Linked DNA regions of Macaca fascicularis. Each later gene encodes a partner of the first gene's protein in a complex. Links are inferred from orthologs where the notes say so. Each region holds a gene or a part of one and is shown on either strand. Other genes may lie near its edges.

What was found.
Region 2: PRPF19 (region 1) and PPIE share a complex: the UniProt entries of both Homo sapiens proteins name them as parts of the XAB2 complex. The link is inferred for Macaca fascicularis from reciprocal best matches to the Homo sapiens genes PRPF19 and PPIE.

What each region holds. Positions count from the first base shown.
Region 1 is NC_088388.1:13,370,833-13,382,226, forward strand, and holds part of PRPF19 (pre-mRNA-processing factor 19), read left to right. Parts: intron 1-219; coding exon 220-369; intron 370-545; coding exon 546-622; intron 623-1,203; coding exon 1,204-1,345; intron 1,346-1,428; coding exon 1,429-1,502; intron 1,503-1,618; coding exon 1,619-1,681; intron 1,682-2,538; coding exon 2,539-2,580; intron 2,581-2,709; coding exon 2,710-2,784; intron 2,785-3,149; coding exon 3,150-3,225; intron 3,226-3,387; coding exon 3,388-3,497; intron 3,498-4,766; coding exon 4,767-4,922; intron 4,923-5,177; coding exon 5,178-5,247; intron 5,248-5,479; coding exon 5,480-5,565; intron 5,566-5,833; coding exon 5,834-6,004; intron 6,005-6,155; coding exon 6,156-6,261; intron 6,262-11,394. UniProt on the Homo sapiens protein: Ubiquitin-protein ligase which is a core component of several complexes mainly involved pre-mRNA splicing and DNA repair. Required for pre-mRNA splicing as component of the spliceosome.
Region 2 is NC_088375.1:195,152,762-195,164,589, reverse strand, and holds the start of PPIE (peptidyl-prolyl cis-trans isomerase E), read left to right. Parts: upstream 1-4,625; 5' UTR 4,626-4,644; coding exon 4,645-4,675; exon of another isoform or gene 4,676-5,452; intron 5,453-5,919; coding exon 5,920-6,018; intron 6,019-8,086; coding exon 8,087-8,130; intron 8,131-8,612; coding exon 8,613-8,639; intron 8,640-9,895; coding exon 9,896-9,977; intron 9,978-10,502; coding exon 10,503-10,603; intron 10,604-11,828. UniProt on the Homo sapiens protein: Involved in pre-mRNA splicing as component of the spliceosome. Combines RNA-binding and PPIase activities.

The DNA.
Region 1 (11,394 bases):
TTGTTGACTATCTGATTGTCAGGAGACTAAAGGAAAAGCTAGTTCCACAGCTGGAAAGCGTTCTGGGGCCAGTACAGAACTGGCTTAGGGTCAGATGTCTTGCTTTTTGCTAGTTGATTGTGAGGATGCCTAGTCTTGTTGGGGCTAATAGCAGATGAGGAATCCTCTAGGCTCAAGATTGCCTTCACTCCAAGCTCACTGCCGGCCTTTTCTCTACAGTCTCTAATGAAGTGCCGGAGCACCCATGTGTGTCCCCTGTCTCTAATCATGTTTATGAGCGGCGGCTCATTGAGAAGTACATTGCAGAGAATGGTACCGACCCCATCAACAACCAGCCTCTCTCCGAGGAGCAGCTCATCGACATCAAAGGTGCCTATTGGCTGCCTTAGTCTAGGGCCATCTTAGCTCAGAGCCTGAGAGGATGGGAGGTGGTGCCAATGCACTGGAGGAGGAGATGGTGGGCTGTTTATGGCTAAAAGGAAAAGATGTGATGGCAGGGGAGGTCCCTGGGTTATGCTCTTCATACCTACTTTCCCTTTCGGCAGTTGCTCACCCAATCCGGCCCAAGCCTCCCTCAGCCACCAGCATCCCGGCCATTCTGAAAGCCTTGCAGGATGAGTGGGTGAGTTCCTGCAAGAGAATTAGCATCTTCCCCACTTGAAGAGAATGCATCGCTGAGTTAGGACTTGGGGGTGGGAAGGATGGAGAATTATTTAGATAATCATCATCAGGGTTTTGTGACATCAGGGTTTTGTTTTATTCTTTGTTGTATCCCCAGCACTGAGAGCGCCTGGTACGTAGTAGGTGCTCTAGAATTATGAACTGAATGATTGAATACATCCTGCAGGACTGTCTGGCACAGTGCCTGACACAAAGAGGGCAATCAATAAATAGCAGCAGCAGCAGTGTTGTTATCCACTTTTAGAGAGGTGACGGCATGACAGCTGGAATTTGCCAGTAAATTAGGGAAAGTAGGGATGGGAAAGAGCTGACTGCCACTCCTGTCTGTGTGCCCAGTGTTTGGCTTGGGGTAGGAGCTCAAGAGTGTCTGCTGGCATATTCATGGTGCTCGGATATTGTTTGGGTCACTGATACTGGTCTAGGCTGTGGGATAGGAGGCAGCATCCACTCCCCAAGAGCTGGCTCCACTGGGTGCTCCCTGCGCCCCCCGCCTCAGCTCACAGTAATATTTGCCTCTCCCAGGATGCAGTCATGCTGCACAGCTTCACTCTGCGCCAGCAGCTGCAGACAACCCGCCAAGAGTTGTCGCACGCTCTGTACCAGCACGATGCCGCCTGCCGTGTCATTGCCCGTCTCACCAAGGAAGTCACTGCTGCCCGAGAAGGTGCAGCCTGCCCCCTGCCATCCCCCACCCTGAGCTGGTTCTGCTTTGTAATATCCCATTTCTAACATCGTCTTTTCTCTCAGCTCTGGCTACCCTGAAACCACAGGCTGGTCTCATTGTGCCCCAGGCTGTGCCAAGTTCCCAACCAAGTGTTGTAGTAAGTGTCCCCCTTCCCTTACCACAGCCCATTTGTGTGCAGTGGCCCACAGAGCTGTCCTTATGTAGGTGTCTTTGGTGCTCTGTGCCCCTCACCCTCACCTTTCTTCTCTTCAGGGTGCGGGCGAGCCAATGGATTTGGGTGAGCTGGTGGGAATGACCCCAGAGATTATTCAGAAGGTAAGTCCTGCTCTCACCTGGTGGGAGTGCTGATGGGCCCTTACTTTTCCCCATCTGTCTAGAGTCCATCGTGACTAAAATCGCTATGCTTTTGGGAGTTGAGTGGTGCAGAGCGTGGATTCTGGGCCCAGATTGCCTGGGTTTGTATTTTGATGCCACTACTTGTAAGCTACATGACCTTGGCTTCCTTAGCCGATTTCCAAGTTTCATTTCTGTAGCTTCTAAACTGAGAATATAATAATATCCACTTTATAGGCTTGATGTGGGAATCTAAATGATTTAATTACTGATAAGTGCACCTTTTAGCCCTTATTGTTTTGGGTATTATTTGCAGATAGTAAACTACTTTTATATATTTTCTTGCTTTTTTTCTATGAGGGCAATAGGACAGGAATTATAATCCTTATTTTACAGATGAAAGACACATCAGAGGCAGAGCTGGGCTCCTGATTGCAAGTCCAGTGGGATTCTCATTTGCAGGGCTTTTTAGTGTCTTTCTGAGCAGTTCAAATTGTCAGCATGTGTCTGAGCCCTTGGCTGAGTGGCATGTAGACCTATGGGAGCTCTACAGTCCTGGCCTCCATTCCTGCTCTGCTATTTATCACCTCTGCAACCTTGGGCAATTGACTTCACTTCTCTGAGGCTCAGTGTCCTCAGCTGTAAAATAAGGTCATCAACACCCCCCTTATAAAGCTGGGATGGAAGTAAGAAGAGAGAATGCCTTTAAGCCTGTAATGTAGAAATTGGCAGATAGCAAATTCTGGGTGTTGCTTGTGAAAGCACAGGTGTGACCAGCATCCAATGTGCTTTTCTCCTTGCAAGATAATTTGTCTCACATTGAGCCTATTCTTCCCCAGCTTCAAGACAAAGCCACTGTGCTAACCACGGAGCGCAAGAAGGTGAGTTCTCTTTTGAAGCCAGGAGAAAGAGCTGGCCTGGTGGGAGGCAGTTGACCCCTTAGGAGAAAGGGGGCTGGCTGATCTTGGATTCATTGCTGCTGTACTTTGGGGGCTTTTTCATTTTCTCAGAGAGGGAAGACTGTGCCTGAGGAGCTGGTGAAGCCAGAAGAGCTCAGCAAATACCGGCAGGTGGCGTCCCATGTGGTGAGTGTCTGGGTCTTCACTGTCTTGGAGACAGCCCTCCTGTTTTGTGTCTGGGGTGGGTGGGCCAGCATGGGGAGTGCTGAGTACAGAGCTGTCCCGGGCTCCTGGCACTGTTCCTGGCGCTGTTTCTTGCCTGGGCTGCTGAGCTGTCAGGGCTCCTCTTCCTGCCCAGTTGTGGGTTTCCCAGTGATGCAGTGAAGGAGTTACCGCAGCAGGCAGATAGCCAAGAGATATGGATAAGGAGTAGAAGTAACTCTTGCTCCCCTGAGAACATGGGTGACTGGGGATGGCAGTAGGGGAGACCTGTGGCTTTGTGGCCTGCTGTGATTTGGCTGTGACAGGGTTTGGTGTGTCTCTCTGCAAAGGGGTTGCACAGTGCCAGCATTCCTGGGATCCTGGCCCTGGACCTCTGCCCGTCTGACACTAACAAGATCCTCACTGGTGAGAGTCTGGGCCTAGCCCAGCAGGCCAAGGTGGGGAGGGGCAGCGGGGAATTTGCATGCGCCTTGTCCTCTTCATGGGCATGGGGACAAAAGCATTTCCTTCAGCAAAAGGGCCTGGGTGGGCCTGACTCATTGTATGGTCTCTTTGGGTCTTCTCCAGGTGGGGCAGATAAAAATGTCGTTGTGTTTGACAAAAGTTCGGAACAAATCCTGGCTACCCTCAAAGGCCATACCAAGAAGGTCACCAGCGTGGTGTTTCACCCTTCCCAGGTAAGGGGTTCTTGCCACCTTTGGATCTTCTTTCCTTGGCTGTTGTTTGTCCCTCGCCCCCCTGCTGTCTCTGTGAAGTGGGGCTGAGAAAGAGCGCTGACTCCTGAGTGGGCACTTGGAAGGGCTTCACTTTGGAGTTGTGGAGATTGCCCTTCACTCTGCGTGAGACCTTCTAAAGCAGTGGTCTTCCAGCCAGGGAGAGAAGGGAAATGTGTAGTTTGACAAGCATATTCATTGAAAAGTTTTATATTAGGGAAAGAAAAAATCTTATAGTGTTCGTCATATAAACTACAGAAAACAAAGCTCAACTCAATCTCAACTCACAGGTATGAGGAAGACAGATGTATTTGCTTTCTCATGACCCTCCGAGACGGGTTAAAGTCATGTTGACTATTGAAAGTGGTGTGGGTTGTAAATAGAACCTCTGGTTTATAGGATAAAGGTAACTCATGGGACTGGATTAATGATATTATGGGATTCGAATTTCAAGCCTAAGACAGTTTGGGTTTGGGGCTGCAGGACAGTGGTTGGTTTAGCGCTTCCCAGTCGAGCTTTCCCTTGGACCTTAGGGAAATGAGAAATGTAAGAATGACATGGTGAATTTTTCATGACTAAATTACTCAAATCGAGGGCACTGTTTTCTTGCTTATGGGGTATTAATAGTTAGGTCTCATGAAATTGTATTGATAAAGATGGTAGTTATTTTTGCCTTGTGGCTTTTAATATCCTAACTAAACAAAAAATTGGTGAGTGAGTGATACGAAATTCTCTCCCTGCCCCAAATCTTTTGGAAAACTAACTTACCCTGGAAATCCATAAATGTGGGATGCACTGAAATACAGCCATGCAGCCCCTTCGAGTCCCCGTACTGCCCAGACCTGTGCCATACAGTACAGTAGCAATTAGCTACATGTGGCTACTTAAATTTCAATGAAATAGAATAAAAAATTCAGTCCCTCAATTATACTAGCTACATTCTTCCTTTGGTCCTGGAAATGGGAAAATTGCTCTCTGTTGCAGTTAGCCTTTTTACCACTAGATGGCGCGGACGCCTCCACAAGCCCTGATGATGTATGAGTTACGACTTGAATAGCGTTTACCATTGGCTGTTGTGGGCACCTTTGGGTGGGTAGGTGGTTCCAGGGAGGGCAGGGCTGAAAGGTGAAGCAATTGTTGGTAGTTTTGGGCATCCCCTGCCTCCTTTTATAACATTGTTTTGATCTGTGTCTCTTCTCTGACTCTGATACTCTGTCTTTGTTTTCCTTGTAGGACCTGGTGTTTTCTGCTTCCCCCGATGCCACTATCAGGATTTGGTCGGTCCCCAATGCCTCTTGTGTACAGGTGGTTCGGGCCCATGAGAGTGCTGTGACAGGCCTCAGCCTGCACGCCACTGGTGACTATCTCCTGAGCTCCTCCGATGATCAGGTGCGGTCCCAGCCAGTGCCCTGGAGAGGCTTGCTGGTCCCCAAGCTTGAACATCCTGGGTGGCGGGAACATCTTCCCACCCCAGCTGCTTCCCCAGAACCTCAAAGGAGAATGTTTCCTCTCTGCTGGGAGGTGCTAGGTTTGCCAGGGTTTACCAGACCAGGGGCTCTGTCTACCTGAAAGGCCACCAAAGCCTGGGACCCACTTTCTCACTGACTCCATTCTCTCTCTCTCTCTCTTTTTTTTTCCCCCCAGTACTGGGCTTTCTCTGACATCCAGACAGGGCGTGTGCTCACCAAGGTGACAGATGAGACCTCTGGCTGCTGTAAGTTGCCTCGTAGGCGCTCAGCCTTTTTGTTTGCTATTTATTATTTACTTTTACATTTTATTTAGTCGTTTGCTTATTTGTTCTAAAGATACATTTACCATCAGCACCTGCCTAGTGCAGGCTTTGTGCTGGGTGCACTGAGGACCGTGAAGAACAAGGAACCTAACTTTGCTGCTCTTAGTCTCTCCCTGGTGGGCTCTGACCACAGGTCCGTCTTCCTCCTCCACAGCTCTCACCTGTGCACAGTTCCACCCTGATGGACTCATCTTTGGCACAGGAACCATGGACTCTCAGATCAAGATCTGGGACTTGAAGGTAGGACACGGTGGGCTTCCATCTGAGGCCCAGGGCCAGAGCGGGTGTTTGTGACAACGTGGTGCTGATGAGGTGCTTGTGGCACCTGGCACTGAAGGGGCCATCGCTGGCTATGCCTGTGTGATATGATGGTGTGGTCTGCGGGGTCCCGCTGGCTGGCCTTCCTGGAAGGACAGTGAGGGACATCTCAGGTAGGGGTTTGGTGAGCTCCATTTTCTTCCTCTCATGATCTGTGGGTGACGTGTTTTACTACCCACCACCACTGTAGGAACGTACTAATGTGGCCAACTTCCCTGGCCACTCGGGCCCCATCACTAGCATCGCCTTCTCTGAGAATGGTTACTACCTGGCTACAGCGGCTGATGACTCCTCTGTCAAGCTATGGGATCTGCGCAAGCTTAAGAACTTTAAGACATTGCAGCTGGATAACAACTTCGAGGTATGCCCTTCCCCCGCCCCACCCAGCTTTCCATTGTGTCTCCTTGTTTGTCGATTATTTATTGAATTAATCTAATTGCTTCTGCTTATCCGCAATTGCCCCATAGTTTCTGTTCCCCTTGTGTGACCTTCTCTCTTTCTGTTTCTGGCAGGTAAAGTCACTGATCTTTGACCAGAGTGGTACCTACCTAGCCCTTGGGGGCACGGATGTCCAGATCTACATCTGCAAACAATGGACGGAGATTCTTCACTTTACAGGTAGAGGCTGGTCCTGGGCTCCTGGGGTCTCTAGGTGCCCAGGCCCGGAGGGAAGCCTCACTGGGTTAGGAATTTCTAGGACTTGCATGAATTTACCTAAGCAGCTTTCGGTTACCACCTGAGGCAGAGCTTTATGGCTAAGGAAGCAGACTGAGTCAGACTGCGTGGCAGTGGATGCTAGTAGTCGCTCTGCCACTTCATGCCGTGTGGCATTGGGCAGGTTACTGAAGGGAGAGAAAACTCCTCCCTCTGAAGGTTTGATAACTGAATCTGAAATCAATGAACATTAGGCAGAGTGACAGGAGGAAAGCCATTTTAATGACGTGCATATGCATGGGAGGCCCACATTATATTAGACCTGCAGAAAGGTCAGATGATTGAAGCTTATACAGTCTATATATCCTTTAATAATGGGGATATGTTCTGAGAAATGTCTTATTAGGTGATTTCATCATGTGTGACCATTGTAGGGTGAACTCACACGTATCTGAATGGTGTAGCCTGCTACACACCAAGGCTGTTGCTATAACCTTAGTGTAGTCTATTACTGCTCCTGGGCTGCAAACCGGTACAGCATATTACATGTAGTGAGTACAGTTATAACACAGTGGTGAGTATATGTGTATCTAAACCAATCTAAACATAGAAAAGGTTCAGTAAAAATAAGGTAGAAGAGATTTTTTAAAAATGGTACACTGGTATATTGCTTGCCATGAATGGAGCTTGCAGGACTGGAAGTTGCGTTCAGTGAGTGAGTTGTGAGTGAATGTGAAGGCCTAGGACATTACTGTACACTGCTGTGGACTTCATAAACACAGTGCATTTAGGTTTTACTAAATTCATAAATAGCTTTTTCTTCAGTAATAAGCCTTAACTGACTTTTACTTTATAAACTTAAAAAAATGGATTATTTTGTAATAACATTTAGCTTAAAACAAAAACACATTGTACAGCTGTACAAAAATATTGTCTCTCTACATTCTTATTCTATAAGCTTTTTTCTGTTTTCTAATTTTTTTAATTTTTATTTTTTACTTTTTAAACTTTTCTTATTAAAAACTAAGACACAAGCACACATTACCCTAGACCTACACAGGATCAGGATCACCAACTGTGTTAGTCCGTTCTCACACTGCTGTGAAGAACTGCCTGGGTAATTTATAAGGGAAAGAGGTTTAATTGACTCCCAGTGACTGGGGAGGCCTCAGGAAACTTACAGTCATAGCAGAAGGGAAAGCAAACACATCTTTCTTCACATGGTGACAGGGGAGACAAATGCTGAACAAAGGGGGTAAAGCCCCTCATAAAACCATCAGATCTCGTGAGAACTCACTATCATGAGAACAGCATGGGGGTAACCACCCCCATGATTCAATTACTTCCCACTGGCTCCCTCCCACAACACGTGGGGATTACGGGCACTACAATTCAAGACGAGATTTGGGTCGGGGCACGAAGCCTAACCATAGCACCAACATCACTGTCTTCTACCTCCACATCTTGTCCCACCGGAAGGTCTTCCGGGGCACTAACACACGTAAACCTGTCATCTCCTATGGATGATAATGCCTTCTTCTCGGATACCTCCTGAAAGGGCCTGCTTGATGCTATTTTACAATTAACTTTTTTTTATAAGTGGAAAGGGTATGCTTAAAATAATACCCAAAAAAGTATAGGATAGGCATACCTTGTCTTATTGCACTTAGCTTTATTGTACTTTGTGGATACTTTGCTTTTTATAAATTGAAGGTTTTTGGCAACCTTGCCCCGAGCAAGTCTGTCAGTGCCGTTTTTCCAACAACATGTGTTCACTTTGTGTCTGTGTGTCAAATTTTGGTAATTCTCACAGTATTTCAAACTTCATGATTTATTGTGTCTGTTATGGTGATCTCTGATTAATGATCTTTGATGTCGCTATTGTAATTGTTGGGGGGGCACCATGAAATGTGCCCATATAAGATACTAAATCGATAAATGAAATGGTGTGTGTGTTCTGACCACTCCACCCACCAGCCGTTCCCCATCTCTCTCCCTCTCAGACCTCCCTGTTCTCTTAGACACAACAATATTGAAACTAGGCCAGTTAATAACCGTATTATGGTCTCTCTGTGTTCAAGTGAAAGAAAGTGTCCCATGTTTCTTACTTAAAACTCAAAGCTAGAAATGATTGAGCTTAGTGAGGAAGGCATGCAAAAAGCCAAATAGGCTAAAAGCTAGGCCTCTTAATGCCAAATGTTAGTCAAGTTATGAAAGCAAAGGAAAATTCTTGAAGGAAATTAAGAGTGCTACTCCAGTAAACACACGAATGATAAGAAAGCAGAACAACCTTATTGCTGATACGGAGAAAGTTTCAGTGGTCCGGATAGATCAAACCAGCCACAACATTCTCTTAAGCCAAACCGTAATCCAGACCAAGATCCTAACTCTTGAATTCTATGAAGGCTGAAAGAAAAGTCTGAAGCTAACAGAGAGGTTGGTTCATGAGGTTTAAGGAAAGAAGCCATCTCCATAACAGAAAAGTGCACGGTGAAGCAGCAGATGCTGATGTAGAAGCTGCAGTAAGTTATTCGGAAGACCTAGCTGAGATCATTGACGGGGGCTACACTCAAAAGATTTTCAGTGTAGATGGAATAGCCTTCTATTGGAAGAAGGTGATGTCTAGAACTTCCACAGCTAGAGAGAAGTCGATGCCTGGTGTCCAAGCTGCAAAGATCAGAGTGATTCCCTTGTTAGGAACTCATGCAGCTGGTGATTTTACATTGAAGCCAAAACTCATTTAGCATTCTGAAAATTGTAGCGCCCTTAAGAATGCAGGGCTAAATCTACTCTGCCCGTGCTCTGTAAATAGAACAACAAAGTCTGGATGACAACACGTCTGTTTACAGCATGGTTTACTGAATGTTTTTTAAGCCCACCATTAAAAGGTACTGTTCAGAAAAATAGAGTCCTTTCAAAATATCACAGTGCACCTCATTACCCTAAAGCTCAGATGCAGATGTTTCATGCCTGCTAACATCCAATCTTCAGCTTATGGATCAAGGAGTAATTCTGACTTTCAAGTCTTATTACTTAAGAAATATGTTTTATAAAGTTATAGCTGCCATGGATAGTGATTCCTTTGATGGATCTGGACAAAGTAAATTGAAAATCTGGAAAGGATTCACCATTCTACATGCCCTTAAAAGCATTTGTGATTCATGGGAGGAGGTTAAACTATTAACATAAAGAGGAGTTTGGAAGAAATTGATTCCAACCCTTCAGCCCTCTTGGATGACTTTGAGGGATTGAAGACTTCAGTGGAGGGAGTAACTACAGATGTGGAGGAAATAGTAACAGAACTAGAATCCGAATGGAGTCTACAGCTGTGACTGAATTGCTGCAGTCTCATGTTAAAACTTTAATGGATGAGGAGATGTTAAGGATGACCAAAGAAAGTGGTTTCTTGATGGAATCTACTCCTGGTGAAGATGCCGTGAACATTGGTGAAATGGTAATGAAGGATTTAGAATATTACATAAACTTAATTGATAAAGCAGATGCAGAATTTGAGAGGATTGGTTCCAGTCTGAAAGTTCTGCTGTGGGTAAAATGCTATCAAACAGCATCCATCACAGAGAAATCTTTTGTCAAAGGAAGAATGAAACGATGTGGCAAACTTCATTGTTGTCTTATTTTGAGAAATTGCCACAGCCACTTCAGCCTTCAGCAGACATCACCCTTGTCAGTTAGCAGCCGTGAGCATCAAGGCAAGACCCCGCTGGGGGGTCTTGGAAAAAGATTACAACTCTCTGAGGTGTCTGATGGTTGTTAGCATGTTTTAGCAATAAAGTATTTTTGATTGGCCGGGCGCGGTGGCTCAAGCCTGTAATCCCAGCACTTTGGGAGGCCGAGACGGGCGGATCACGAGGTCAGGAGATCGAGACCATCCTGGCTAACACGGTGAAACCCCGTCTCTACTAAAAAATACAAAAAACTAGCCGGGCGAGGTGGCGGGCGCCTGTAGTCCCAGCTACTCAGGAGGCTGAGACAGGAGAATGGCCTGAACCCGGGAGGCGGAGCTTGCAGTGAGCTGAGATCCGGCCACTGCACTCCAGCCTGGGCGACAGAGCGAGACTCCGTCTCAAAAAAAAAAAAAAAAAAAGTATTTTTGATTAAGGTATGTACATTGTTTACTAGACATAATGTTATTACACACTTAATAGACTACAGTATAGTGTAAACATAACATTTTTTTTGAGATGGAGTCTCTATCGCCCAGGCTGGAGTGCAGTGGCACGATCTCAGCTCACTGCAACCTCCACCTCCTGGGTTCTAGCACAGGTGTGCACCATCACACCCGGCTAATTTTTGTATATTTAGTAGAGACGGGGTTTCCCCATGTTGGCCAGGCTGGTTTTGAACTCCTGACCTCAAGTGATTCACCTGCCTTGGCCTCCCAAAGTGCTGGGATTATAGGCATGAGCCACCATGCCTGGCCAACATAACTTTTATATGTACTGAGAAACCAAAAAAATTTGTGTGCCTTGCCTTATTGCGTATTTGCTTTATTGGTGGCCTGGAGCTGAACCAGCAATATCCCTGAGATACGCTTATACATAAACCAGTAACGTAGTTATTTGTACTGTACCTAATTGTGTTATACATTTTTTTTTTTTTTGATATGGAGTCTTGCTCTGTCACCCAGGCTGGAGTGCAATGGCTCGGTCTTGGCTCACTGCAACCTCCGCCTCCCGGGTTCAAGCATGTGCCACCACATCTGGCTAATTTTTTTTTTTTTTTTTTTTTGTAGTAGAGATGACGTTTCTCTATGTTGGCCAGGCTGGTCTCAAACTCCTGACCTCATGATCTGCCTGCCTTGGCCTCCCAAAGTGCTGGGATTACAGGCGTGAGCCACCGCGCCCAGCTGTTGTACTTTTATACAACTGCAAGTGTAATAGTTTTGTTTATACCTGTATCCCCACAAACGTGAGTAATGCATTGCACGGTGACATGAAGATGTTTATGACATCACTTGGTGATAGGAATTTTTCAGCTCCACTGTAATCTTATGGGACCATTGTGTGGTCCATCGCCGACATGTCATTATGTGACACATGACTCTATGGCATCCTGAGCTGCAGAAGGGAGTAGGGG
Region 2 (11,828 bases), on another chromosome or scaffold:
AAGAGGCATTATGGCATATAATAATTATAACTGTTTTGGTATTTACACCTTTTGGTCCAATCATTTCTGGGCATCCCTCCAAAGGAGATAATGTGGTCCTTAGAAAAAAGCTGTACTGCTAATGATAGTTACTGGAGCTTTATATATTCAATCAACAAATTAAATACTCAGTTATTACTTTGCTAATGTGAGTAAATTGCTTGACCTCCCTGGGTGGCCTGGGTAAAATGGGGAGATAATCTCTATCTCAAGTTTGTGACAACTAAATGTCTGTGGAAATATCTCCCTAGCACTAGGCCCAACACAGAGTAGGTGTGCTCTGTATGGGCTCTTTTCACCTCCCCTTTCTAATTACGTTGCATGTTATTATACATATGATGAGAATCTATATAGTTTTTCTGTTTGGTTGTTTTTTTGAGATGGAGTCTTACTCTATCACCCACGCTAGAGTGCAGTAGCGCCATCTTGGCTTACTGCAACCTCTGGCTCCTGGGTTCAAGTGATTCTCCTGCTTCAGCCTCCCGAGTAGCTGGGACTACAGGTGTGCACCACCATATCCAGCTAATTTTCATGTTTTGAGTAGAGCCAGGGTTTCACCATGTTGGCCAGGCTGGTTTTGAACTCCTGACCTCAGGCGATCCGCCCACATCGGCCTCCCAAATTGCTTGGATTATAGGCATGAGCCGCCACACTCAGCCTCATAGTTATGTTTTTTGAGACGGAGTTTCACTCTGCCGCCCAGGCTGGAGTGCAATGGTACGATTTCGGCTCACTGCAACCTCCGCCTCCCAAGTTCAAGCAATTCTTCTGCCTCAGCCTCCTGAGTAGCTGAGGCTACAGACGGACACCACCACGCCTGGCAAATTTTTGTGTTTTTAGTGGAGGCAGGGTTTTGCCATATTGGCCAGGCTGGTCTCGAACTCCTGAGCTCAAGAAATTCACCCACCTCAGTCTTCCAAAGTGCTGGAATTACAGCCGTGAGGCACTGCGCTTGGACGAGAATCTATACAGTTTTGTATCACCACCACTCCCCTCACAATGGGCTGAATTTGGTCAAAAACCATTACTTCTCCCCTTCCCCTGGATTCTGAATGGTAGCATTCAGGTGTCAAGTGGTTGGAGTGTCCTAACTTTGACCACCATCGAGTGCTATCCTTTCCTTGGGTGCTAACCCACTGCTTCTCCTGGTTCCCAGGCACCCCAGCCTGCTGTCCATGTGCAGGCCAGGAACCCCTGACTGCCTCCATGCTGGCAGCAATACTTTCCCAAGAACAGAAGCAGGTGCTGAGTGAGTGACGCATGTGCCTACAAAAGAAGAGAGGGCCAGAAGCTTGTGCTGACCCAGACACCAGGGTTACTGAGATTCCATCTGGTTTTTTATGAACTATCTTCCCCACAGGAGAAGTTTGTTCCTGCTTATCCAAACAATGCATTCAAACCTGGCTGTAAAGATTATAGGAAAAGATGCACAGGGCAAGGTGGGAATGGAGAGGGGCTGGAGAGCTTCCATGCCCTCTCTAGGCATGCTGCGTTCCAAGCACATCAATGTGTTCACCAACCTGGAAACTCCCCAAACCGCATTAAGAGTGTTTATATGAGGTTTCATTACCTAGGCATGGCTGATTAAACCATTGGGCGTTGGTGATTGAACCCAATTTCCAACCCCCTCCTCTCCTCAGAGGTTGAAGGCGGGAGCTGGAAGTCCCAACCCTCTAATCACGTGGTTTGTTTCTCTGGTGACCAACCCCCATCCTGAAGCGAGCTAGGGGTTCTATCTTGAGTCATCTGCTTAGCATAAACTTAGGTATGGTCAAAATGGGCTCATTATGAATAACAAAAGACACAGCACTCAGGATATTCCAATGGTTTTAGAAGCTCTGTGCCAGGAACTAGGACGAAGACCAAATATCTATTTTTTATTATACCACACCACATAAAGGACGCCTGGTCAGATTCTTCTTGAGAGTGACCTTTTGGTTTGGAATAGTGAGGGGTACACAAACAGCTCTCCTAATCAGATCTCATAGTCTCATTCCTATAAGCATCGACTCCCTGGTTTGGCATGAGGTTGGTAAGATCAACTGTGTGTGCAGCCACTGCTTAGCTCTGGGAATACAATGGGTACAGGCCGTGGTGTCAAATATCTCCATCTACTGGGAGACAGAGAGACATACCTGACTATAGTTATAGGGTGTGTGTCAATTGACTTCTAAACTTGGGGACTATGGACTCTGTCTATAGGGGATTTGGGTGAGTGAAGCTTAACTAGGACCTCTGACAAGGACTGGTGGGTGCCTCCAGATGGAGAAAAGAAAGAACTCAATGAGCAAAAGCAGAAGCAAGGAAAAAGAGCCCGTGGTAAGTAGGTGAGGAGCTGATGTGGAGGTCAGGGTTGACTTGAGGTAGGCATGGACCCCTTGTCAAGGACCTTGTGAGCAGCATCAGTGATTTAAGTAGGGAGTTCTAGAGAATTTAGGTTTATTTTGAAGAAAAATCACCCTAGGCCGGGTGTAGTGGCTCACACTTATAATCCCAGCAGTGTGGGAGGCCAAGGCGGGAGGATTGCTTAAGTTCAGGAGTTTGAGACCAGCCTGGGCAACATGGTAAGACCCCGTCTCTAAAGAAAAAAAAAAAAAAGTTAGCTGGTCATGGTGATGTGCACCTGTACTCCCAGCTGCTACTCGGGAGGCTAAGGTGGGAGGATCATTTGAAGCTGTGAGGCTGAGGCTGCAGTGAGCCATGATCATGTCACTGCCTTCTGGCCTGGGTAAGACAGCAAGACCCGGTCTCAAAAAACAAAAACAAACAAACAAAAAATCACCTTGGACAAGTGGATTGAAGGAACAGAGCCACTATCAACTCCTCCCTAGCCTACTACATTAATTTCCTGGTCTCCAGGGTTCCAATCAATCCATTCTGGGCCTAGTGTCAGAGCACTATTTAAAATGATGTGATCATGTAACTCTCCTGTTGTAACTTCCGCAGCTTCTCAAAGCCCCCATATCTTCCAGGTGGCTTACAGCGCCCTCATGATGTGGCCCTCTGCCCACCTTTCCCACCTGATATGCCCTCCACCCCGCTACCCCAGGCTCTGGTCTTTTAGTTCCTTGAGTGTGCAGAAGCTGCCTCCTCCTCTCTCTGGCTCCTTTTCCTTCAGAATTCAGCTTAACTATCACCTCAGGAAGGTCTTAACCCCCTGCTCCATATAAAATAGACGATCCCATTATTTCGTGCCACTATGTCAACCTGTAATTTATGTATTAGTGGGTTTAGTCCAAGATATTAGTCTAAACGGCACCATTTTGTAAGCTCCCTGCTATTCTGCAGACCTCGGTCAAAGTGAAATATTTCACAGGGGTTTGGGCTGTGAGAAACATCCTGCCTAACCCCCTGACCACAAGGCAGACAAAGGCTCAACTAAAGAAACATCCCTCTCATACATTGCTGGGCAAAGGTCCAAGGGACACCATGATGACATCCCACCGGAACAAGGGCCAAACCGCCTCATCATGAGAACATCTTTATATCAATATCCTGCCAGGCAGCAAGCCATACTGCCCAGACGCCTCCCGCTCATACCTATACATTGCCCAGTCGGTAAGCAGTGGTGGGCACTGGCATTAGGCTGGTTCCCTACTTCTGTAGGTTATTATGCTGAACATAAAGCCTACGTTTGCTGTTGAGCTGCCCTCTTTCTCTGTGTGTGTGTGTCTTTCTTTAACCCTTCCCTTCTTTTCAAAACCTAACACGAGTCGGCAAACGTTCTTCCTGAAGAGCCAGATGGTAAATATTATTGCAGGCTTTGCAGGCTATAGCTTTTCCGCCCTTATAGAAGGAAAGCAGCCACAGTCATACTTAAAGGAATGAACGTCGCTGTGTCCCCATAAAGTTTTCTTTATGGACACTGAAATTTTAATTTCACATAATTTTCATGTGCTAAGAAAAGAAAAAAAAATTTTTTTTGAGACGATGTTTTGCTCTCATCACCCGGGCTGGAGTGCAACCGCGCAATCTCTGCTCACTGCAACCTCCACCACCTGGGTTTAAGCGATTCTCCAGACTCAGCCTCCTGAGTAGCTGGAGTAGCTGGGATTACAGGCGCCCGCTACCACGCCCGGCTGATTTTTGTATTTTAGTAGAGACGGGGTTTCACCATGTTGGCCAGGCTGCTCTCGAACTCCTGACCTCAGGTGATCCGCCCGCCTCAGCCTTCCAAAGTGCTGGGGCTACAGGCATGAGCCACCAAGCCCGGCCAAGAAAATATTTTTGTTTTAATTTTTTTCCAACTATTTCAAAAGGTAAAACTCATTCTTAGCTTCCGGGTTGTCCAAAAACAGACGCGCACGATGACCACGCACCATAGTTTATCGTTTGCCCATAATAATAGGGTTGATTCGGCCAAGGTTTGCCTCCCCCAACAGCGTAAGCACTAGGAATCGCGACGACCACGTTCCTTTGTTTATCACTGCGTACCGCACAGGGCTCCCGGTGCTTCCGGGTAGCGGGATGAGGGTTGGACCAACGCGAGGGTGGGCGGGGTCTGAGAGCTAAGCGTTGCGGGGGCGGGGCGGGGCCAGAGGGGGCGGAACGGGGGGAAGAGGGCGGGCCGAGTGCTGGCTTCCGGCGGAAAAGCGCGCGAGCAAGATGGCTACCACCAAGCGCGTCCTGTACGTGGGTGAGCAGGCGGGGTTGCTAGGCGGAGTCTGGGTAAATGCGACCCCCAGAGGGTCGGGCGTGGGGTGGGACGCATCTCTGAACCAGGAGGACGGCGAGCAGCTGTCAAGGCCGGGTCTCTGGAGGTAGTGCTGGCGGTAGCTCTGGCTCTGCTTAAACTTCTTCAAAGGCTTCCCACTGTCCTCAGGAAAAAGTGCAAACTCCTTAGCAGTAGCCACCTCTTCAGCTTCTTTGCTTGGCTTCCCAATTCTCTGGGTCTCCCGAAAAATGACCCACTTGCCCCCAAGGGTCAGGTTATTTAACAACCTTGGGCCTCTGCTTTTGCGACTCTCTTTCAGTGAACAGCCTTGCCACACACCTCAGGTGTGTGAACCCGAGACTGCATGGTTATTCTGACTTCTTCCTAGCCCGCTGAGCTCCACGGCCCCCGAGGAGCGGTAGAGGAATATTATGGTCCTCCAGATCCTCTCGTTCATTTGTTTTACAAACATCAGTGCAGCGACGGCTCAGCCCCAGCCCCAGCCCTAGCCCCCGCCATAAAGGAAGGAGTTCCCAGACTAGCCAGAAAAAAAGTGGAATTACCTCAGTAGCACACTTTTGATAAGCGCTGTAGTGAGGATGGACCATGATGATATGGGCCTGGCTGCGGGACAAATGACCCATGCATCTGGAGAAGTGAGGGCAAACTCTGGATGTGGCGATGCCAGAGCTGATGAGCAGGAGTTAGCTATCTAACCGAAGCAGAGGCAGGGCTGTTCACTGCAAGGGAGTCGCAAAGGTGAGAAATAGCCTGACACTTGGGGGCAAGTGGGTCATTATTCAGGAGACCCAGGAAATTGGGAAGCAAAGCAAAAAAGCTGGAGAAGTGGATACTGCTAAGGAGTTTGCACTTTATCCTGAGGACAGTGGGAAGTCTTTGAAGGAGTTTAAGCAGAAAAGTTACGGGTTCAAATCTGCATTTTCCTAAGATCATTCTAGTTGGCTTTGTGGAGTTGATGGAGTGGAGGCAGGGTCAGTTGTGAAGCTATTGCAGTAATCCCAGGACTAGATGAGAATCTGAAAGAAGGGCGAAGAGAGGAATATTTTTCATAAGTGTGGGTGGGCAGAGATGAAAGGGGGATGTTTGTGTACCCAAAGAACTGAATGGAAGGATCCTGTCCCCTGGCTAGCATGCTAACTGGGCTGCAGTGACTTCTGCAAGAGTATGGAGATCAGTGGCTCAGAAGGCCCTTGGCTTATTTGCAGGTGGACTGGCAGAGGAGGTGGACGACAAAGTTCTTCATGCTGCGTTCATTCCTTTTGGAGATATCACAGATATTCAGATTCCTCTGGATTATGAAACAGGTGAGTTAGCGTCTCTCACATCCAGAATCCTCTTATTAGGAAAAGACCTTAAAAAATTAAAGTCACATCGCAATTCTAAATATGCATTCTAAATATGGTTAGTATACACTACAGGAAAGTTCATGAAGGTGCCTGGTGACAGTGATCTTGATGGAGAAGGAATGTTCTGAGGCAATGTGGTTGTGAACTCTGAATACTTTCAGTCTTCAGCTGTTGGGTTGAGATAAGACAGATTTTTCAATAGACCAGTAGGGAGATAGGTTTGAACTACACTGAGATTTGAATGTTGTTTTAATCTACCTGATCCCACCTGCTCCTTCTTGGCAGCTGTGCTGTTAAATGGGGCAGCAGGAAAGCCTAACCCTATAATTGGAGCGGGGAGTGGGGGACAGGGGTGGGGATTCTTGGCCTCTACACACCTGGGTGGGTTTCCCTTTGACTGGTATCACAATCACAGTTCAGTTTTCTGTTTTACCTTTGTTGTCATTTTTAAGATTATAGTTTTAGGTCTAGTTTTATCATCAACCTTGCATATGATTGTTAGCAAGGTCTTTAAACTCTCCAGAGAGTTTAAAGGCCTGGGGAATCTTTATTTGCAAAATGATAAGGTTATATTGGCTTTTTTTTTTTTTTTTTTTTTTTTGGTTGGAGATGGAGTCTCGCTCTGTCACCCAGGCCGGAATGCTGTGGCGTGATCTCGGCTCACTACAAGCTCCGCCTCCCGGGTTCACGCCATTCTCCTGCCTTAGCCTCCCTAGTAGCTGGGACTACAGGCGCCCGCCACCACACCCGGCTAATTTTTTGTATTTTTTTGGTAGAGATGGGATTTCACCATGTTAGCCAGGATGGTCTCAATCTCCTGTGATCCGCCCGCCTCGGCCTCCCAAAGTGCTGGGATTACAGGCATGAGCCACTGAGCCTGGCCTATATTGGCTTTCTTTTTTTTTTTTTTGAGACGGAGTCTCGCTCTGCTGCCCAGGCTGGAGTGCAGTGGCCGGATCTCAGCTCACTGCAAGCTCCGCCTCCCGGGTTCACGCCATTCTCCTGCCTCAGCCTCCCAAGTAGTTGGGACTACAGGCGCCCGCCACCACGCCCGGCTAGTTTTTTGTATTTTTTAGTAGAGACGGGGTTTCACCGTGTTAGCCAGGATGGTCTCGATCTCGTGACCTCATGATCCGCCCGTCTCGGCCTCCCAAAGTGCTGGGATTACAGGCTTGAGCCACCGCGCCCGGCCTATTGGCTTTCTAAGGGCCCTTCTAGTCTCTGAGTTCTATGATTAACATTATTGTGCTTGGTCTTTCCAGTTCCTTCAGCATTTTCCTGAGGATAAAGACTGAGCATCTTTATCAGGTTTTAGTATTCATGCTTTATGCACAGTTGATGCACAAAATGTATATTGGATAGGTAATTGATAGGTCAAATGACCTTAGTTTTCTAATTGCGTTGCATGCAATAGTTAAGGTTTTTTTGTTTTTTTGTTTTTTTTTTTTTTTTTTTTTTTTGAGACGGAGTCTCTCTCTGTCACCCAGGCTGGGGTGCAGTGGCCAGATCTCAGCTCACTGCAAGCTCCGCCTCCCGGGTTTACGCCATTCTCCTGCCTCAGCCTCCCGAGTAGCTGGGACTACAGGCGCCTGCCACCGCGCCCGGCTAGTTATTTGTATTTTTTAGTAGAGACGGGGTTTCACCGTATTAGCCAGGATGGTCTCGATCTCCTGACCTTATGATCCGCCCATCTCAGCCTCCCAAAGTGCTGGGATTACAGGCTTGAGCCACCGCGCCCGGCCTAATAGTTAAGGTTTTAAGTTTGGCTTTGGTAGATTAGTTGAATACTTATTAATTAACAATACAGTTTATTATTCAGCTATGTCCATTAAAAAAACAAAGTTTATTATTGCTTAAAATATTGTATAAGAAGAATCAAAGAATGAGATTCCTTCTTCCTAAATAGTGATTGGATAGAACTTCTGGTGTTTGGATATGGCATGTGACTGACTTCACTTTGTGACCATCCTGTTTCCTCCCACTGCCCCACATAGTAATTACTTGTTTTTGTTTTTCCATTTTGTAGAAAAGCACCGAGGATTTGCTTTTGTTGAATTTGAGTTGGCAGAGGTGAGAGTCTGTGTTACTGGTGTTTAGTCCTTGGTTTGTGATGTTACAGATTAAAAAGGAAGCTTTTCACCATTTGGTTAGGTTGTTGGGCCTTAGGCTGATGCTGCCAGAGAGATCAGAAGTAAGTACTGTTCTAAGGAAAGCTTCTCTCACATAATCATACTGAACTGTGAATAACACGTCAGACCTTCTGCCAGGCCCTGCCATTCTTGCCCTGCAGAGGAGCTAGCTCCTACACCCCTGTTCATTGAGCATTCTTGCCTGGCAGTAGTGATTATTTCTTGTGCCTTCAACCATATGGCAAATTGTTGCACCACCAGCTCTAAAATCAGCCAGGAAGTGCTCTTTGTTAGAAACATACACAACCTAGGCAAGAAATGTAGAGGCGGCATTTTTCTGGATTTTTGCTACTGAACATATGTTTAGACACCATAAGCATTTGGCTGCAAGCCTAAACTTGTACCGTTGTCTTTCTTTGGCAGGATGCTGCAGCAGCTATCGACAACATGGTATGACTGGGAATCTTCATTCTAACCAAAGTTGCTTTTTGGTGGTACAGAGGGTCCTTATTCATATATCAGTGTTCTGGACTTCCAAAGTTACAAGGTTGCATGGGGAGGTAAAAATTCTCACGTGAAAATATTCACTGTGAATTGATCACTTATAAAATTAGTTCTTACTCAGACTCCTTCCCCATTTAATAATAATGTAAGTCCTCATCATCCTTGTTGACCAGTCTCTCACTGGCTGTCCCATGTCTAAGATAATTTGAAAACACAGTGCAAATTGATTGCACAGTTAACTGCATATTTTGCAAAATAGGATTTCATGACCAATTTACAATTGAGAAGAGAAATTTAATTATGGCAGGTGCAAATCACTGATACAAATGATTTGGATGTTCTGGAAAGGTCCTTGGGAAAAATGATGATGCTGTTTAGTATTTGTGCCCTCCTTGAGGTCCTTTTAGTTTTCATGTCTGATACGAAGTGCAAAGATATACTGTTGATAGAATTTTATTGGAAAAATAATACTTCAGTGTCTGTTTCCTTCCCTCCGTCCAGCCGTCCGTCCGTCTGTCTTGAACTCCTGAGTTCTAGCAGCCCTCCCTTCTCAGCTTCCCAAGTAGCTGGAATTACAGGCTCAAGCCAACAGGGCTGTTACATTTCTTTCTACCGATTAGTGCAGAGTTAATCCTGAATATTAATTGTAAGAAACTTGTTTTTATTATTTTTAGTTTCATCACAGTCATTTCCCTGTCAAACCTTTTTAAATTTTTCACTTTTACCATGAAATCTTCATCAGCACTTCAAGTGGATTCACCTTAAGTAAACTTTCCTGGTACTGATTATCTATGGATAATGAAATGTTCTTTTATTCCTTGTTCTGTTATCCATTCACCAAACATATTCCTCAACTGTCAGAGATCATTTTTCTTTCATTTCAAAGCTTATCTTGACTTTTGAAGGTGAACTCAGATGCTGGGAAACTGCATTTATTCTTGTAATTTTGGAGTGTTCTGAACCCAGAGTTACTTTTGGTAATACAGGTCTTTGCGTGCTGCTATGAAAGAAAGGGGTGTGTGTGATGGTTCTAGAATTCCCTGCAACCCACAGGTGGCTTTGGGGTGGGTGCATAGCTTACTCGTAGGGGCCCAAGGATTAAGGGAGGACAAATCATGAGTGTGTCTCAGAAGTAAATGGAAAGCTGGCTGGCCCTCTTTTAATCTAAGAGAGTTTAAACAGCTGGATTTTAATCTTTTCAGAATGAATCTGAGCTTTTTGGACGTACAATTCGTGTCAATTTGGCCAAACCAATGAGAATTAAGGAAGGCTCTTCCAGGCCAGGTGAGTAGGAGCAACTTCCAGATTCCCTGTGATGTTCTGCAGTTTAGCCTTAATTGCATTTTTTGTCTCTGTTTACTTGGAAGTAGATGCTCAATTCTGCTTCCTGGTAGATAGGAGATGGTTCACATCGGGAAGGGCACGCACCTCCTTTATAGAGAAACAAAAAGTGAGTTTGAGCTTCTCAGCAAAGCCAGAGTAATTGTTTCTGTTATGAGAGAAATTCCTGCTTGAGCTCATCTTTCCCAGTTTTCTTGATACTCCATTTCTGGGGTGCTCCATCAAGGGCTGAAACCAGCAAAGGCTATACCATTGCTTTCCACATAGCTATTTTTCTTAGCCCTCCTGAGAGCTGGACTTCAGGGCCGTCATTTCTGGATTGGAATTTTCCTTACCCCTGGGAGTTCTCAGTGGGGAACTGTCTGGCATAGAGGCCACGTAGCATCTTCCACTTTGCTGAGCAAAGCAGCTACTTTTCAGTTCAAGCTGATAGCTTGAATGAACATTTGTTTGATTCTTTCCTTTCAGTTTGGTCAGATGATGACTGGTTGAAGAAGTTTTCTGGGAAGACACTTGAAGAGAATAAAGAGGAAGAAGGGTCAGAGCCTCCCAAAGCAGAGACCCAGGAGGTGAGAATGAAGGCTCCTGCTTCCAGAAGAACTTAAACTTAAAATTTTTTTAAGTTTTAATGGAAATTTGCGAATATATGTGTGTGTGTGTGTGTGTGTGTGTGTGTGTGTGTGTGTGTGTATATATAAAAGCAGAGGGAATGAATAATGAATTCTTAGTACTTTGCTAAGTCAATATTGAGTGAATTCTAGGGTGAAGATTTGGGTATCTCGTCCATGTTGTGTTCTATGTGATGAGCGTCTCAGCTCTGCTCAGGTATGGATTTGTGATTGTCAGCTGACAGGGAGGAAGCTGAGGTGCTCCTCTTCACCCCTCCTAATGAGTCCCCCTCCGTCACTGAAGAGTTTGCCACGAGGCTCATGGTCTTCTATTCCTGTGCTAATGGAGGGGAGACAGGATAGGGTAGTGGTACCTTCCTTCAACCTATACATGGGTTCTGAGTTCTCCAGCCCTAAGAGAACCTGCCAGGGCACTTCCTCCTGATTCTCACCATAGGTCTCTGACAGTTGCTTTCTGGGCTTCCCCTCCTCTGGATACGTTGTGAATGTTGTCATTCTTCTGTATTTCTTTCTTGGCTCATGGTTTCTCTCTTTTCTCTCAGCTGAAACAGTAGCAGTCAGTCTCTAATTTTATGCAGTCTCTCTTATGCTGTTGAACTTCATGGTCTCTTTCTAGTCCTGAGCTTCAGATATTTCTGCCTGTAAGTCTCAGGCAGCTTAAGTTTGCCTAAAATGGATTCCCCCGCTTCTCTAATCCTGTCTTCCTGTGTTCTCAATCTTGGCTAATTTGCCACCATTCATCCACACATTGACCCACACCAGAAATTTTGATGCAAAGCAGAACTCATAAAGTGGCCATCACAGTCAGTGGAGTCCCCCTGGATCATCCTGTATCCTCTGCTTAGTCTTATCTACTTGGAGCACAAAGCAAGGCCCAACATTCTCCACTGTCTTCTGAGCACTTAGGCCTGAGCAAGAGGGCTGCCCCCTTGCTTCCATGTAGCCAGCCAGCGTATGTGCAGGGCCAAGCATAGAGGGAGGAGGTGGTGGTACTTGGATGGATCTGCCTAACTAGAGGACAGTGGGTGGGCTGGAACTGGCATTTGAAGATATTGAGAGTTGTGGATCATGGACCAGAAAAGTGCTGTTCTGTGACTGAAGCAAGAGGAGGAAGCAGATGCATCTGAGGGCGAGCATGATGAGATAATACACCCGTGTATGGGCC